Linked DNA regions of Cricetulus griseus. The protein of the gene in region 2 interacts with the protein of the main gene of each other region in a biochemical or structural test. Links are inferred from orthologs where the notes say so. Each region holds a gene or a part of one and is shown on either strand. Other genes may lie near its edges.

Region 1 (3,345 bases), on a different chromosome or scaffold from region 2:
ATGAAGTCTGTCATGACAAGGTTACTACTCAAAGGCTTGAAATTTAGAGTTTTGTATAGGAAGATGCTTTATCTTAAATGGGATTGATTCTAACACAGCAAATTAAAATTGTATCCTAAATATTAAGCAGTTTGGGAACTTGAGGACTGGCAAATTTGGGAGAAATATTAGGAACCATACAAATTGCACTGTGGGATTATCAGCAGCAGATCCTGGTTTACTTAAAGAATGTATTAACTATCAAATGCAAAAATGTTTACATAAAGCAATGATGTTTTAAGTGTTTTCTGGTTTGGGAAATGTGTGTGCTAGTGTGAATATAAAGATGTGGAATGAGAAGACTAGTGTGTCAGCACTCTCCTGTAATCCAAGCACTTGGGAGGTGGAGAGGCAGAAACTTCAGGAGTTCAAGGTTATCCCCACCTAACCAATTTGAGACCTATTTGGGTTACATGAGACATGACTACAACAGAAACGGGATCCCCAGCCTATTGTGTCCTGGGCTCTATGCTGGGAACCTAGTTCAGATAAAACCAGGAGCAGGGTTAGGCCAAACAGTGATGGTATATGAGCTTCTTGGTGAAGGCCTGGTCTGAGCAGCTAGCTCCCTCACTGGCGTTAGCCATCATGCTTACAGTAATCAAGGTTTGATTATGGAGAATCCTTATTTGTAAGATAAGATGACATCATCCAAAGGCATATACCCACTTTAAGGATTTATTGGTTTAGGATTGCCCCATATAGGGGACACTCGGCCTTCTCTTGACCTTCATCTCAGTGTGTATCCCTAGCTGGCTTGAAACTTGCTATGTAGACCGAGCTGGCCTCGAGTAATGGGAAAGGTGCTGCGAGGTGACCCACACGAAGCCGATTCTCCAGCATTTGAAAGAGACTGTCCTTTTCTTGAGGATTACGGGTGACACCCATCCTCCAATGGAAGGACTCAGATACGCTGAGGCTGAGGAGCTCCCAGTGGGGTTCAGAGTGTGCTGTGGGCTCTGCCCTTGGTCTTGCAGCAGACTGTCACCTCACCTTGTGTCTCTTCTTGTCGCAGGTGAGAAGCCCTACAAGTGCAACTGGGAGGGCTGCGACTGGAGGTTTGCTCGGTCGGACGAGCTGACTCGCCACTACAGGAAGCACACGGGTGCCAAGCCGTTCCAGTGCGGGGTGTGCAACCGCAGCTTCTCCCGATCCGACCACCTGGCGCTGCACATGAAGCGCCACCAGAGCTGAGCCCTGCGCCGACCGCCCGACGCCTCGCAGTCCGCTCTGCCACCCTTTAAACCGCTGACCTAACTTCATATAAAAAAGAAAAAAAAAAAAGAGAACTGGAAATGTATATTTTGTATATTTGAGGCCACAGGGAATACATTGTATTAATACCAAAGTGTTTGGTTATTTTGAGAACCTGGAACTTGCTGTCATGCTCATCGCTGGCTCTTTTCCAGCACACTTCATCTCCAGACAGGCAGCGGCATCTCAGCGTGGGGAACCGGTGGGGGTGCACGGGGTGCGTATGCTGTTTCTATGCAGACTGCACACGCCATCATTTGTGACATTGTTTAGTATAAACAAACCAGTTGGCAGGCACCCGGACAGACTGTCAAGATTTTACTTGACGTGGACTTGTTTTTTTTTTTCTCTCAAGATTAGATTATTTCCATAGAGGAGGTACACAGTGTACCTGGCAATTCACAAATAGCCATTGAACAAATGTGTTTTGTTTTGTTTTTTATATGAGTTGCCTATATTTGCTATTACAAAATTTTGTAAATATGCAAATCAGCTTTATAGGTTTATTACAACTTTTTAAGGATTGCTTGGGGGAATCATACTTCTTTTGAAAATAACTATTAATACATATGAAGTTAGGATTTGTGGTTGATACCTCTCTAAAAAAGTTACCAAATCCATTTCTTTGGGGGAGGGAATAATCATTCAAATGAATAAAATGCAAATTTCACTCTCTGATTGAAATAAGATTGTTTATTTTAAATACGAAAGATTTTTTTATATGAATTTAAACTGAAGAGTTTAAAGATAGTTACAAGACACAGACATTAAAGGTCTTCTAAGTTAAACAGTATCACTTGTGAAAGACGGCTGTGGCTGTCACTTGTGTCCTCGTTGAATTTAAGACTCTGTTTGCACTTGTGGAAACGCTGAGTTTCTGGTGCAGTTTTCTTGGACTGGGGATGTTTGCTCATGCCATATTGTTGGCTAAATGACAATTTATGTGGATTTTTGCATGTAATAACCAGTGAGACACAGTAATTTTATTATTGAAATTACAGTGCAGTGTAGTTAATCTGTTAATGCTGACTCGGTGTCTGCCTTTAATATCAGTGACATGTTGAAAGCTTACCAATATGCAATATCATAGGAATGTGACTGACGCTGTTAACCAAAGGGCAGAAATCATAAGCAAAATGCCAAAAGCGGTCTTAATTAAAAATTTAATTTTTGTTTTTAAGATATTGTTTATCATTATTTATTTTGTGGTAATATAGTAAGTTTTTTTAGAAAACAATTTTCATAACTTGATAAATTATAGTTTTGTTTGTTAGAAAAGTTGCTTCAATGTGTAAATAGGTGACAGTGTAAATAGTTTTGTAAGAGGCTTCAAGATGTTTATACGTGGACACCTACTTCAAAAGCGTAAACCGGCTGCTGTTTGGCTTCTTTGTCCCTTATTTTTGTATTGTGGTCATTTCCTATGCAAATATCGGAGCAAACAGCTGTAAAGTTGTAGAATTTTTTGAGAGAATGAGATGTTTATATATTAACAACAATTTTTTTTTTGAAAATAAAAAGTGCCTAAAAGATTTACATGGTGCCTTCTTTCCCTTCTATAGCAGTTAATGAGCATAGTATGATCTAAAGGTCTGCTCAGGGAGGTTAATTAAAAGACTCTCAGGCAGACTTCGAGAAAGTACAGTGACCTGGATCCCAATTGGTTGCCTGCCTGGGATGTAGAAGTGCCTGTCTATAATCCCAGCCTCTGGGGTAGTGGAATTCAAGGACATTGTGGAATCTTGTCTGAAAAAAATAAAATAAAAACACATTGAATCATACTTCCTTTAAGACATAGAAGGATTTCTTTCAAGCACTAGGGAAATGTCTGGAGAGCTACAAAGATGACACCAGCTAACAGTCTAAGCAACAGAGGAGAGGCTACCTTAAATGCCCTCTCCTGATTATGAGATTGATGACTAACTTATATGCCATCCTATAGCCTTCATCCAGCAGCTGGTGGAAGTCGAAGCAGACACCCACAACTAATCACCGAACTGAACTGGAACCCAGATACAGAGAAGGATGAGTGAAGAGCACAGGGGTCCAGAC
Region 2 (3,567 bases):
AGATAAATGCCTGGAGGAGGCGTGTGTATGGTGTCCCCTACACATCCCTAGCAATGCCAATAGATAAAGTAAAAATATGTATGTTTTAATTTAACAGGAAATGACTCATTGCTTCATTTTTATTGCTTATTTGTGGTAGATGGGAAAGAAGAGTTGATGATCGTGGAAGAGTTTATTATGTGGATCATAACACCAGAACAACCACATGGCAGCGGCCTACCATGGAATCTGTTCGAAATTTTGAACAGTGGCAATCTCAGCGGAATCAATTGCAGGGAGCTATGCAACAATTCAACCAACGATACCTCTATTCGGTAATTAGCAATTTACAAGGTGTTAGAGGTGTTAATGTTACTTTTCCCTTACTTTGGTGGCTTTCTAAAATATGTAGAGTACATTCAATAGTTTGTTTGCTTCATTTTATTTTTGGCTAATCTTTAATATTACTTCTGGTTTGTCTAAATAAATAAGCATTCTTGAAATTTTTCTGTCTTTGGAATATTTTAGATTTTAGATTAGGATGTTCATCCTGTATATAGTACATTTGTTTTGTTCTGTGTAGGACTTCGTGTGCATTAAAGTTTGTAAACAGGACAAAATTAGGTATTGGGTATGTATCAAAATACTTTCTACTAAGTAGCACAGTCCTCTTAAATGGATGCAAATTAAGCTACTTCAATAGAATACCAGGGCTGGAACAAGAAAGAATCATTCTCTGGCTTACAGTGCCATCAAGCAGCTGAGTTCTGCCTTTTAGAGTATCATCTATTTCAGTGCATCTTGCCTGCTCTATTATCATGCCTCTTGCCTACACTAGCTATTGTTATGCACTTTATCTGCACCGTCTGTTGTCATGCAGCTTACCTACACCATCTATTGTCACCAACTGAACCAGCACCATCTCCTCATGCATTTTACTAGTACCATCTTTTACCATGCAGATTTCCTTTACCATCTATTGTCATGCACATTACCTTCACCATCTCTACCGGCTGTTGCCATGCATCTTTCCTGCACCCTCTATTGCCATGCATTTTGCCTGCTATTTTGAACATAAAGAGCTTCTACCCTTGGCCTGATTTCCAGAGTCTCTGCCATGAAAGGAAAGGGTAAACTGAAAGGGGAGAGGTTTCCTGTAGCAGGGCCCTTGTACTTAGCAAGCCCCTGCCTATTTGCTTAGCAGTTTAGCAAAGGAAACCCTCCTGCTTCTGCCTCATTGGCTAGAATTGGTCACTTTACTAATCCAGATTCAGTGGACTATTCCTTATGGGCACATTGTTACCTCAAACAAAGCTAGTGATTACATTATCAAGAAAGATAAGATAAAAATGGATATTTAGTGCTGTCTGGTGGCAGTCCTATCAAATATTCATCAAGATGTATACATATTACCATTGAATAATTATTTTGCAGAATAATTATACTATAATGATTTACCTATTTTTGAGCAAATAATATTGTCTCCTTTAAATGGCATAATCTCTATCTCTAATTACCCATCTCCTCTTACTCCTTAAAAAGGACTAGGAAATTAGCTTTTTGATTTTACTACACTATTTTTAAATGATTTACTAATAATTATATCAGCTGGTGGCTGCTCTTCATAATATTTTTGAACATTGTTTCTTGAAATTGTTGTATTCATATTCCTTTATAACATTTTTTAAAAATTCTAAGATATGATTGTTAATTGCTTAGTATATTAGTATACTTCTGGCTAAAACTGCTATCTTATATTGCAACCTCTTTTTCAACCAGGCTTCAATGTTAGCTGCAGAAAATGATCCATATGGACCTTTACCACCAGGATGGGGTAAGCTGATATGGTATTTATAAAAATATGTATAAGGTATATAGGTATCAAATTGTTATTGAATGTTATTCATACTTTATGTTTTAGAAAAAAGAGTGGATTCAACAGACAGAGTTTACTTTGTGAATCATAATACAAAAACAACCCAATGGGAAGACCCCAGAACTCAAGGGTATGTGTATAGTAAAGTCTTAAGTTATTACACATGAGAAGATGGATGGAGTCAGTGGGCTATAAGTACCTGAAACATACCCACCATATGATTGTGATTTTTTTGTCTTACAGCTTACCAAATGAAGAACCCCTGCCAGAAGGCTGGGAAATCAGGTATACTCGGGAAGGTGTTAGGTACTTTGTTGATCATAACACAAGAACAACAACATTCAAAGATCCTCGCAATGGGAAGTCATCTGTGTAAGTGGAAACCCAAACTTCAAAAATATTATGTAGTGAATACAGGAGGTCTAGTCTCTAATGCAGCTTCAAATTTAGAAACAAGCCATGTTCAAGAAAACATGCACAAGTAATATCTACCTATAACTGGTTTTGCTCTATATAATTCCAGAATGGATTTGTGGTATGGCATTTCTTTATTTAATAATATATATTTTGTATATAATAACATTAGCATATATGTGTGTGACAACTACTATATGCCAAAGATTGTTCTAACCATTTTAGACATGTTAGCTCATTTTTATCTTCCCATGACCTTTGAGAGAGAGATTATATTATTATTTTCTTGTTTGTTTTTTTTCTTTTAACAAGGCCCCTTTAAGAAGTTATTAGCCATTTATTTCCTTAAAACACACAATATGTAGTTTACTTTTCATTTTTATCTATTTCCTTCAATGGTACATTATATACAAAACAGCCACTCTTTCCCCATGTTTCTAGGGAGTAATGCTTTCATTGTCTAGAGAATGCCAGGTCCCTGTTAAGTATTTGATAAATTTTCTTGGGTGAATGAACTTCCATGACTGTGACAGCAGAAGACAGCATTTTGTGTTCACTCTACCATGAAAGTTCCTGAATTTCCGTGTATTTTTTGTTAAGACTCTCTCGGCAGGAGAAGCAGGTCTCATTCTCAGCTGACTCTTGTGTCTGCCTCTTTTCTCATTGTCCAGCTTGCTCCAAGAATTACTTATGCTTTGCTTTGTTTTTGTTCAGATCAGGTTTAAGATGAGGTCTAGGTTTTTTTTTTTTTCCTCCTGTTCCTCTTATCTAGAATCCTTGACTTCTTCAGCTTTAAGAATTATCAGAATTCTGCTTATAGTTTATCACACAAAAACAATAGTACAAAAAAAAAAAAAAAAGAATTATCCAACGTTCTTTTTAAGTAGTCTGTAGTAGACTTTAGGCCTTCTATAAACTAAGGGCTTCTCAATAGACCTGTTCCTACTTGGAGTCTCTCTCGTGCATATGTTCTGCTGATGGGACAATCTTCATGACTCAAGCCTCTATTGTCCTAATGAATACACCATTTATCGACTGTAAATAGCTTTCTTTAGTCATACTACAATCTGACGCACACTGTTTCATAATTATATTACAGTGTTATTTGTTATGCTTCTTTTTAGAACTAAAGGTGGTCCACAGATTGCTTACGAACGCAGCTTCAGGTGGAAGCTTGCTCACTTCCGTTACTTGTGCCAGGTACTACAGTGGTAAATAAATCTCATTTATAATAATTTAGTCTGATAGTTATGGAATACATATGCTGTGGCTTACATGCTGTGATATTTTTGTTTTTA
Region 3 (4,337 bases), on a different chromosome or scaffold from region 2:
GCTGGGCGGCCCATGATCGAGTGCAGCCTGTGTGGGACGTGGATCCACCTCTCCTGTGCTAAGATAAAGAAGACCAATGTTCCTGACTTCTTTTATTGCCAGAAATGCAAGGAACTTCGGCCAGAGGCCCGGCGGTTAGGGGGTCTCCCCAAATCGGGAGAACCTTGACATCACTCTTGAGGCTGGAACTTGTGACTTTACTTGGGAACTGAGGCTCAGAGTCTTCAGCCTCTTCAAAGCAGGAATTCCCGAGGGAGACTTGTTTGGAATTGAGTGTCTTGTACGCTGTCCTTCCTGCTCCATGGACTTGAATTAGACCCATTACATCTGGGTCAGGGGAGGCTGGATCTGTAGACAAGTCTCTGTCCAGTCAACCTACCACCCTTTGACTTTCAGGGCCAGGGCTCAAACTGGGATGTAATGGGATAGTTGTCTATAAAATTGTAGTGTAAATACAGCACTCCCTCATGTTTTCTTCTCTCTCACTCCCATTTGCTTTCTTCTACACCGGTTGTTTTTAATTTTGGGCTCCCATGTTTGAGCAAAGTGGTTGCTCAAAGGCGGAGTACCATAGCTGGTGGAGTGGGGGAGAAAAGCAAAAAGGTGTCAATTATCACTAGCCTCATTTTTAATAATATTGGCTGGCTGCTTGTACAGACAGCCAGCGTGTTGTAAATAAAGCAGAGTGGGCTCTTGTGTTTTACAATCCTCGTTGTCCTATTTGGGGAGGGGACCTGGCAGATGTCTCGATGTAATTAGGGCTGAAACCGACTCTTATGATCCAGAGATATAATCCCACAATTTGGGAGGTGGAGACAATTTAGGGGCTAAGGCTGGCTTCCACTACATGAGACACTGAATCCCCCATCACCCTCTCTCACTCAAAAGTCAAATCTTGAAAGGTCTAGTTTTCAGCGTTCTCAAACCAGAAGTCGTCCTAGAGGTCCAAGTTGGTTTGCAGTTCTCGATTTACCAGTACCCTCCCACACCCCCATAGTTGCACCTGAGGTGCTTTGAGCTCTGGGCCTGGGATGGGTAAAACAGTGGGAGCCAGTTGCCAGCATTCTAAGAGTCAACGGGGTTGGCCATAGTACTTGGTGTGGGGCGGGGTACACGTTTGGGGGCGGAGTCTTCTAGGGCTGAAGACCGTTGCTCAAGGCAGCGATCACGTGAGTGTCTAGGCGGAGCTTCGCAGTCACGTGACACGAGCGGATCACGTGAGGGCAGTCGGCTGCGCAAAGTGGGCGGGCTTGTGTCACGTGGCATGGGGAGAGGTGGGCGGGGACCTCGATACTGTTCGCGACGTAGGTGGTGGTGTTGGACCTCGGCTGTGGGGTCCAGGGTTCTGGGTCTCGCTCCACGGCTCTAAGCTATCACCCTGCTGCTCCACGCCGTCCTCCTTGGGCGCGTCTCCCGCACTGGCCCTGCCCTGTCGGCGCTAGCACGTCAATTTGCGGGTGTGCGCAGGCGCGGCGGGGGCGCTTAGTCCTGTTGGGTGGGCGGCTGAGCCCGGGAGCGCGCGAGCGAGACCATGGCGGGCAGCAGCGCGGGGGGCGGTGGTGTAGGCGAGACGAAGGTGATTTACCATCTGGATGAGGAAGAGACTCCCTACCTGGTGAAGATTCCTGTCCCGGCGGAGCGCATCACCCTCGGCGATTTCAAGAGCGTTTTGCAGCGGCCCGCGGGCGCTAAGTACTTTTTCAAGTCTATGGATCAGGATTTTGGGTAAGCGTGAGGCCTAGACTGGGAAGGACGATGGATGTGCTGGAATGGATTGGGCGATTTTGAGGGGGACTGGACTGCCTTGGAATTTTTCTGGCCTGTTGTAGAACATAGCATATTGTACTATGCTAGAGTAGATCGCCCATCCCAAGACGGACAAGGTTGGACACACAGAGCTTGGGAAGAACGGGCTGGACTTCAGTAAACCAGAGGCAAGAAAATTAGGTTGGAATAATGGGGCACACTGGTTTGTTTGGCCATTCTCTCTACTTGATTTTAGCCACAAGGCTAAGAGGCGATGCTTGAGGATATTTTAGGCTGTGCTGAGATTAGATTCAACTATCTTTTGGTTGTCTGGTATGTTCTCAGACGTCTTCACAAGGATTGTATAGGAATATTCTGTAGGGTTATTTTGTTTGTTTGTTTGTTTGCTGGTTTTGATTTGGTCTTTTGTTTTGAGACAGGCCTTACTCTTTGTATCCTAGGCTGGCTCCGAACTCATGGAGTTCCTGCTTTCAGCCTTGAGAGCTGGAGTTAACAGGTGTGAGCCAATATGCTGGGCATGCAGTGTCATTATGTAGATTGAGCTATACTTAGACAATTTAGGCTATCCTGGCTTATTAATTAGGTCCCATAGTATTATTTTGAGATCTGAAATAATGCAGAGAGGTCTGTCGGGGATAGGTTGGACTGTTTTGAATAGATTTTTTTCTGGCAAAGTTTGCAACCTTCTGAACTCTACTGGGTTCTTTTTATTTTCTCTTAGGAGTAGATTCCCCTCCCCCTACGGGGGAAATTGGAGGTTTGTTTGTTTATTTTAAAGATATTTTATGTGTATGGGTGTTTTGCATGCGTGCATATTTGTGCACTACAAGCATGCAATGCCTCAGAAACCAGAAGATGGCTTGGGATCGCTTGGAACTGGAGTTATGTATATGTTATCCTCTATTTAGGTGCTGGGAATTGCACTCCAGTCCTTTGGAAGAGCAGCCAGTGCTCTTAACTGCTGAGCCAGGATTTCATCCTGTAACTAAAGCTACCTAGAGCTCACAATGTAGAACAGACTCACCTTGAATTTGTAGCAGCCCTGCCTCTATGTCTGCATCCTTCATGCTGAGGCTAGAGGTGTGTGACACTATACCTGGCCCAGACCTGGGTTTACTGTGTTACAAGATAGGAATAGGCTGGTGGAGTCCGTGCATATTGTATTGGGGTATTGCAATCAGTACTGGTGCAGACAGCTGCTTGTGTGGAGGCACTGGGGCTTTGCTAGATTAGATGGGGGTTGTTCTGGGGTAATTTGGGACATTCTGGGTGATCCTGGGCTGGAGTAGAACTCTTGAGTAAGGCAGCCTTTTGTTTTGTAGCTATTGAGACCGAGTCTTGTGTGTCCTCAGGCTCAAGGTCTGAAGATAGAGTGCATTGGATTCTGATGTTCTGAGTTGGCATAAGCAAGGATAGCAGGGTACTGGGGAGAAAAAGGTTATCTACCACCTGGGTTGGAGCAAGGCTCCTTACCTGTGGTTGGAGCACATTCCCCATTAGCTAGAACTGAACAAACTGGACTCTCACTGAAGATTTTTCGACATGGGCAGAGTGATACTATCTAGGGGGTTGTCTTGGATTTGAATCTTGGTTCTTCTTTTTGCATTATAATTTTAGGCAATCTATTTAACTTTTGTGCTTTGATTTCTTCATCTGTGGCATGATGATAATCATAGTGTAAAATACTTAATTTAGGTGCAAGCACATGGTAAATCTTGGTGGCTGGTAATTTTCATTTAGTATTGAGGCTAACTAGTTCATAGACTAGATTATAGTGATACAAAATTGCCTGCTTTGGAGGAGACTGGGCCACGCTGGGTTTGATGAGGTTGGGTTATGTTGGGAAGAGTTGTATACACTGAGCAGACCCCTGGTGACTGGGCTATGTTGTCTTGGCAGCTAATATATGAGGAATATACCTTCAAAATGTGGCATATACCCAAGGCCCCCAGAGCATATTAGGCTAGTGTTAATCAATCAAGAGGTTTTATTTTAATTTTTTCATTATTTTTATGTATATGAGTGTTTTGTCTGCATGTATGTATATCATGTGCATGCCTGGTGCCTGTGAACATTAGAAGAGACAGAGCCCAGAACTGGAGTTACAGATGGTTGTGAGCCACTATGTGGGTGCTGGAAACTAAACCTGGGGCCTTTTGGAAGAGCGATAAATGCTCTTAACCACAAGCCAACTCTCACTAAGCCAGCCCCCAGACAAGAAGTTCTAATTTGAAGGTGAGGGTGTTGTGTATGTGAAAGTAAGCCTCATGGCTCATATTTTGTCACCATGTATTTGCTAATGCTTACTAAGTATCAAGGCTGGTGCTGCACACCCAGGACACATGTTGAACAGAGTAGGTGCTAATGATTTCTTGTGGGTATTGAGAAGGAACAAGTTTAATCCGAGGCGGGAGCCTGTGGGAGGCTGGCCACCAAGGCTGGGCTTCAGGATGTTTCAGGCTGAGCAGATTGCTTAGTGAGATGAGGCAGCCAGGAAACGGGAAGCCTCTCATCCCCTCTCAGTGGGCGCTTTCCTGGTGTGGAGTGTTACTGTCACATTGAAGGGTGTT
Region 4 (3,484 bases), on a different chromosome or scaffold from region 2:
CTTCACTGTCCTTGCCCCTTCTCAGGTGGCTGGGAAGGCGCCGCTTCCTACAAGTTGACCTTCACAGCAGGGGGCGCCATTGAGTTTGGGCAGCGGATGCTCCAGGTGGCATCACAAGGTATCCCAGCTCTTAAAAACAAGAGGCCAGCACTCCTTGTTTCTTGTTTGTCCTTTTATTTTGTATTGTAAGCACTGGGAGGTGACTGTGGGCCCAGATGGCAGGGCTGGGAGTTGAGAAAGAAACCTGTAATTACCGTCTGTGGGTTTCCTCTGCCCATAACAAGCATGCAGCATTCTGACAGAAATGTTTGGACTGAAAAACAAACAATAAACCCAACTGTTAAACTACCACCCAGCAGCCATTGTAAATTCCCAAGCACTGTGCTCAGCATTCACTCCCTCATTCTACCCTCCCACCCCCCCAGGTTACCTTTCCATTTACTCCCTCTCCACTCTGTCCTGTTGCCCTCTGGCCTCTCCCTCCCCTCTCCTTCCCTCCCCTCCCCTCCCCTCCCTTCCCCTCCTCTCCTCTCCTCTCCCCTCCCCTCCCCTCCCCTCCCACACAGAGACCTAGGCAGACCCAGGTGGGCAGTGGGAGGCTGAATGGCATCTGTGGGCACTGTCCTGGACTCATCAGTCCCTGAGGCAGGCAACACTCATCTCTCTCTCCCCTTGTACTTATAGCCTCCAGAGGTGAAGCCCCTAATGGAGCCTATGGGTACCCTTACATGCCCAGTGGGGCCTATGTCTTTCCCCCGCCAGTCGCCAATGGAATGTACCCCTGCCCTCCTGGCTACCCCTATCCACCGCCCCCACCTGGTGAGTGTGTCCTTTGCTGCCCAGCCTCAGCCTCCCCACCCACCCACTAACCACACCTTCAGGTTGCAGAGGGGCAATGTGCCCTTTCACCTGCTTTAGACCTAACAGTGGAGAGCTCAGAGGGCACCCCAAGGAAATAGACAGACCACTCCCAGGATTAGCCTTCTGAGGGAGCCACGAGGGCGTGCTCACTGTCTCTGTCACTCTCTTTCCAAGCAGAGTTCTATCCAGGACCTCCCATGATGGATGGCGCCATGGGATATGTACAGCCCCCACCACCACCCTATCCTGGGCCTATGGAGCCTCCAGTCAGTGGCCCCAGTGCCCCCTCCACTCCTGCAGGTGAGCCCCTAGGCTGCTAGCAATTCTTGAGGACCAGCTTTCTCCTCCGGAAGGTCTTACAGACAACCCCACAAGATGGCTGGAGACTACTGATGAAGGGCCTCTGGCTTACAGACCACCCAGAGGAACCAACAGAGTGATAGCTCGGTGGTGAAGAGCTGTATTGCAAGGGCTGGGTTTGGTTTAGTGAGCCCTTGCCTGGCATGGGCTAGGCCTATGTTCTGTGTCCCCAGTGCCATAGAATATGAAACAACAGTCTGAAGGTGAGATGAGGTATAGATTCCAGCCTTGTTGGCCCTTGGCTACCAGTGACCTTGGACCCAGAAAGTCACCCTGTATGCCTCAGTGTCTCATCTACAGATGGTCACCAGGACCGCCCGATAGACCTATGTCAAGGGCATGTAAAGGGACTGTAAAGACAGTGCCAGCACGTGGCAGGTGCTTAGGAAAGTCACTGAAGCTTTTGGTGGCCTGAGTCGCCAGCACCAGCTGCCCTGAACTCAGGTGGGTGGAGGAGGGGGGCTTGTCACTCATTGCCATCCAGCCATGTGTTTCCTTTTACAGCTGAGGCCAAGGCCGCAGAAGCAGCTGCCAGCGCCTATTACAACCCCGGCAACCCACACAATGTCTACATGCCCACGGTAAGTGGGGCAAACCTGCTTGCCCGCCCTCTCAGTCACACAGCCTGGGAGCCAGTGGTGAAAGAGAGACACTGCTCATTCTGTGATGTCTCACATGATCTGTGTTTTCTTCCTCTAGAGCCAGCCTCCGCCGCCACCCTACTACCCCCCAGAAGACAAGAAGACCCAGTAGACCTTGCCCACCTCCCTGCCTCTCACTGGACGACCCCTCCCTTCCTGGGCCTCCCACGGAGCTGCATCTGAGATTCTGGGAGGCCAGGGAGGGCCTGTTCTTCCCCAGGCCTGATTATAAACAGTTACCAGGAACTAGCCCTGATGGAAGGGCGGGGCTCCTGGCCTCTGAGAGGCGCCTCCCAGCTTCCCACACTAGCTCAACCCATGGCACTGCTCTGTCTAGCTTCCCTCTCACCATCTCTGGGGCTATTGGGAGCTTGGGATTGCCCCTTGTTCCTCACTGTAGTAGCTCCTGCCCACAGAGGGACTCTCTGGCCACTCCTCCACCACAGTCCAGCCCCTCAGCCTGATGACCATCCTACGCCATCTTCTGGGCTCATCAGACCCGCCTTGTGTCTCTCCTACAGGCCCTGCCAGGTCCTGCTCACATTCCTTCCTCCTGGGGTGTGCCTGACCCCGGAAAGCCACTGTCCCCACAGATGGTCAGTCCACATTCCCTTCAGTCAGGCCCTGGCCTCAGTCACACTCCACACTTGTCCTTGTTCCCTCATTGCCTCTGGCTTTGGGAATTTTACCCTGAACTTCCAGTGGTTGGTGGCATCAGAAGCAAAGCCTCTGTAGCTGGGAGAAGCCCCTCTGGTAGTGTCCCCTCCTCTTCCCCTTTACACAAGGGGCTTTTCTGCAGGAGCAGTAGAGAGTGCATGTCTGTCCAATCATGACTTAGGTCTGGGAACGAGCACCTCCAACCATGTGACCTGAAACTTGCCATCTGCCCCTGTGTGAGCTTCACGCCCGCCCCCTGGATGCACTAAGATTTGCTCTTGTTTGGTCCTGGTCTGGACGCAAAACAAGGAGATGGTTATTTAAAGAGAAATCCCTATTTATTTGACACACAAAAAATCCAGTTAATATATTAATGTGAAATAAACCCAGTTTGCACCTTGATTTGTTTGCTACAACTGTGAAACAGTAAATGAAGTAACTGGACTCTCTGACTCTGTGTGGTGAGAAGGGTGAGATCTTATGGGAGGAGGAGCTATTGACAGCTGGGAGGTGGGGCAAAGGAGCCCGTTTCCTGTCAGTGAGTCTCAGGGTGCACTTGGTTCCCAGCCTTCCTACAGAGGCCTCTACCTGCCCGGGGTTGGTGCATGGTGCCACCCACTGCCAGCTGGGGACAGGACAAGGCCTGTATCCCATCTGCAACTCGCCTACTGAGCACAGGCTGGAAGCAGCTTTGTCACCCGGGTATGGCAGGACTCCCGTGAGGGGAGTGTGACTTCATGCCACCTGACCTAGGGCAAGAAGGTAGAATAAAGCTAAAGCCACTACCAGCTAAAGGCCTGCTCTCCACTCACAGTCAAAGGGCTGTGGGAGACCCCAGCACCGAAGTCCTCTCCTGACCAAAATGCTCCCACAGAGAGACGCAGCAAGGCCTTGCCGCCACCTCTTTCTTCGGCCACCCACCCCTAGGGGCTGGCAGGCCTGCCCAAGAGCACCGTCCTGACCAT

What was found.
Region 1: of the proteins of Wwp1 (region 2) and Klf5, one has a biochemical effect on the other in vitro, tested with the Homo sapiens proteins (4 studies listed by BioGRID, with this or other methods). The link is inferred for Cricetulus griseus from reciprocal best matches to the Homo sapiens genes WWP1 and KLF5.
Region 3: the proteins of Wwp1 (region 2) and Dvl2 form a complex in vitro, tested with the Homo sapiens proteins (2 studies listed by BioGRID, with this or other methods). The link is inferred for Cricetulus griseus from reciprocal best matches to the Homo sapiens genes WWP1 and DVL2.
Region 4: of the proteins of Wwp1 (region 2) and Wbp2, one has a biochemical effect on the other in vitro, tested with the Homo sapiens proteins (2 studies listed by BioGRID, with this or other methods). The link is inferred for Cricetulus griseus from reciprocal best matches to the Homo sapiens genes WWP1 and WBP2.

The regions. Positions count from the first base shown.
Region 1 is NW_023276807.1:251,145,105-251,148,449, forward strand, and holds the end of Klf5 (Krueppel-like factor 5), read left to right. Parts: intron 1-1,054; coding exon 1,055-1,233; 3' UTR 1,234-2,829; downstream 2,830-3,345. UniProt on the Homo sapiens protein: Transcription factor that binds to GC box promoter elements. Activates the transcription of these genes.
Region 2 is NC_048595.1:132,927,917-132,931,483, reverse strand, and holds part of Wwp1 (NEDD4-like E3 ubiquitin-protein ligase WWP1), read left to right. Parts: intron 1-139; coding exon 140-314; intron 315-1,758; coding exon 1,759-1,813; intron 1,814-1,900; coding exon 1,901-1,985; intron 1,986-2,098; coding exon 2,099-2,227; intron 2,228-3,393; coding exon 3,394-3,469; intron 3,470-3,567. UniProt on the Homo sapiens protein: E3 ubiquitin-protein ligase which accepts ubiquitin from an E2 ubiquitin-conjugating enzyme in the form of a thioester and then directly transfers the ubiquitin to targeted substrates.
Region 3 is NC_048600.1:83,846,480-83,850,816, forward strand, and holds the start of Dvl2 (segment polarity protein dishevelled homolog DVL-2), read left to right. Parts: upstream 1-1,531; coding exon 1,532-1,725; intron 1,726-4,337. Other genes in the region: Phf23 (PHD finger protein 23), read left to right, coding at 1-168.
Region 4 is NC_048600.1:128,663,175-128,666,658, reverse strand, and holds the end of Wbp2 (WW domain-binding protein 2), read left to right. Parts: intron 1-25; coding exon 26-118; intron 119-684; coding exon 685-819; intron 820-1,038; coding exon 1,039-1,161; intron 1,162-1,725; coding exon 1,726-1,802; intron 1,803-1,920; coding exon 1,921-1,974; 3' UTR 1,975-2,921; downstream 2,922-3,484. UniProt on the Homo sapiens protein: Acts as a transcriptional coactivator of estrogen and progesterone receptors (ESR1 and PGR) upon hormone activation. In presence of estrogen, binds to ESR1-responsive promoters. Synergizes with YAP1 to enhance PGR activity.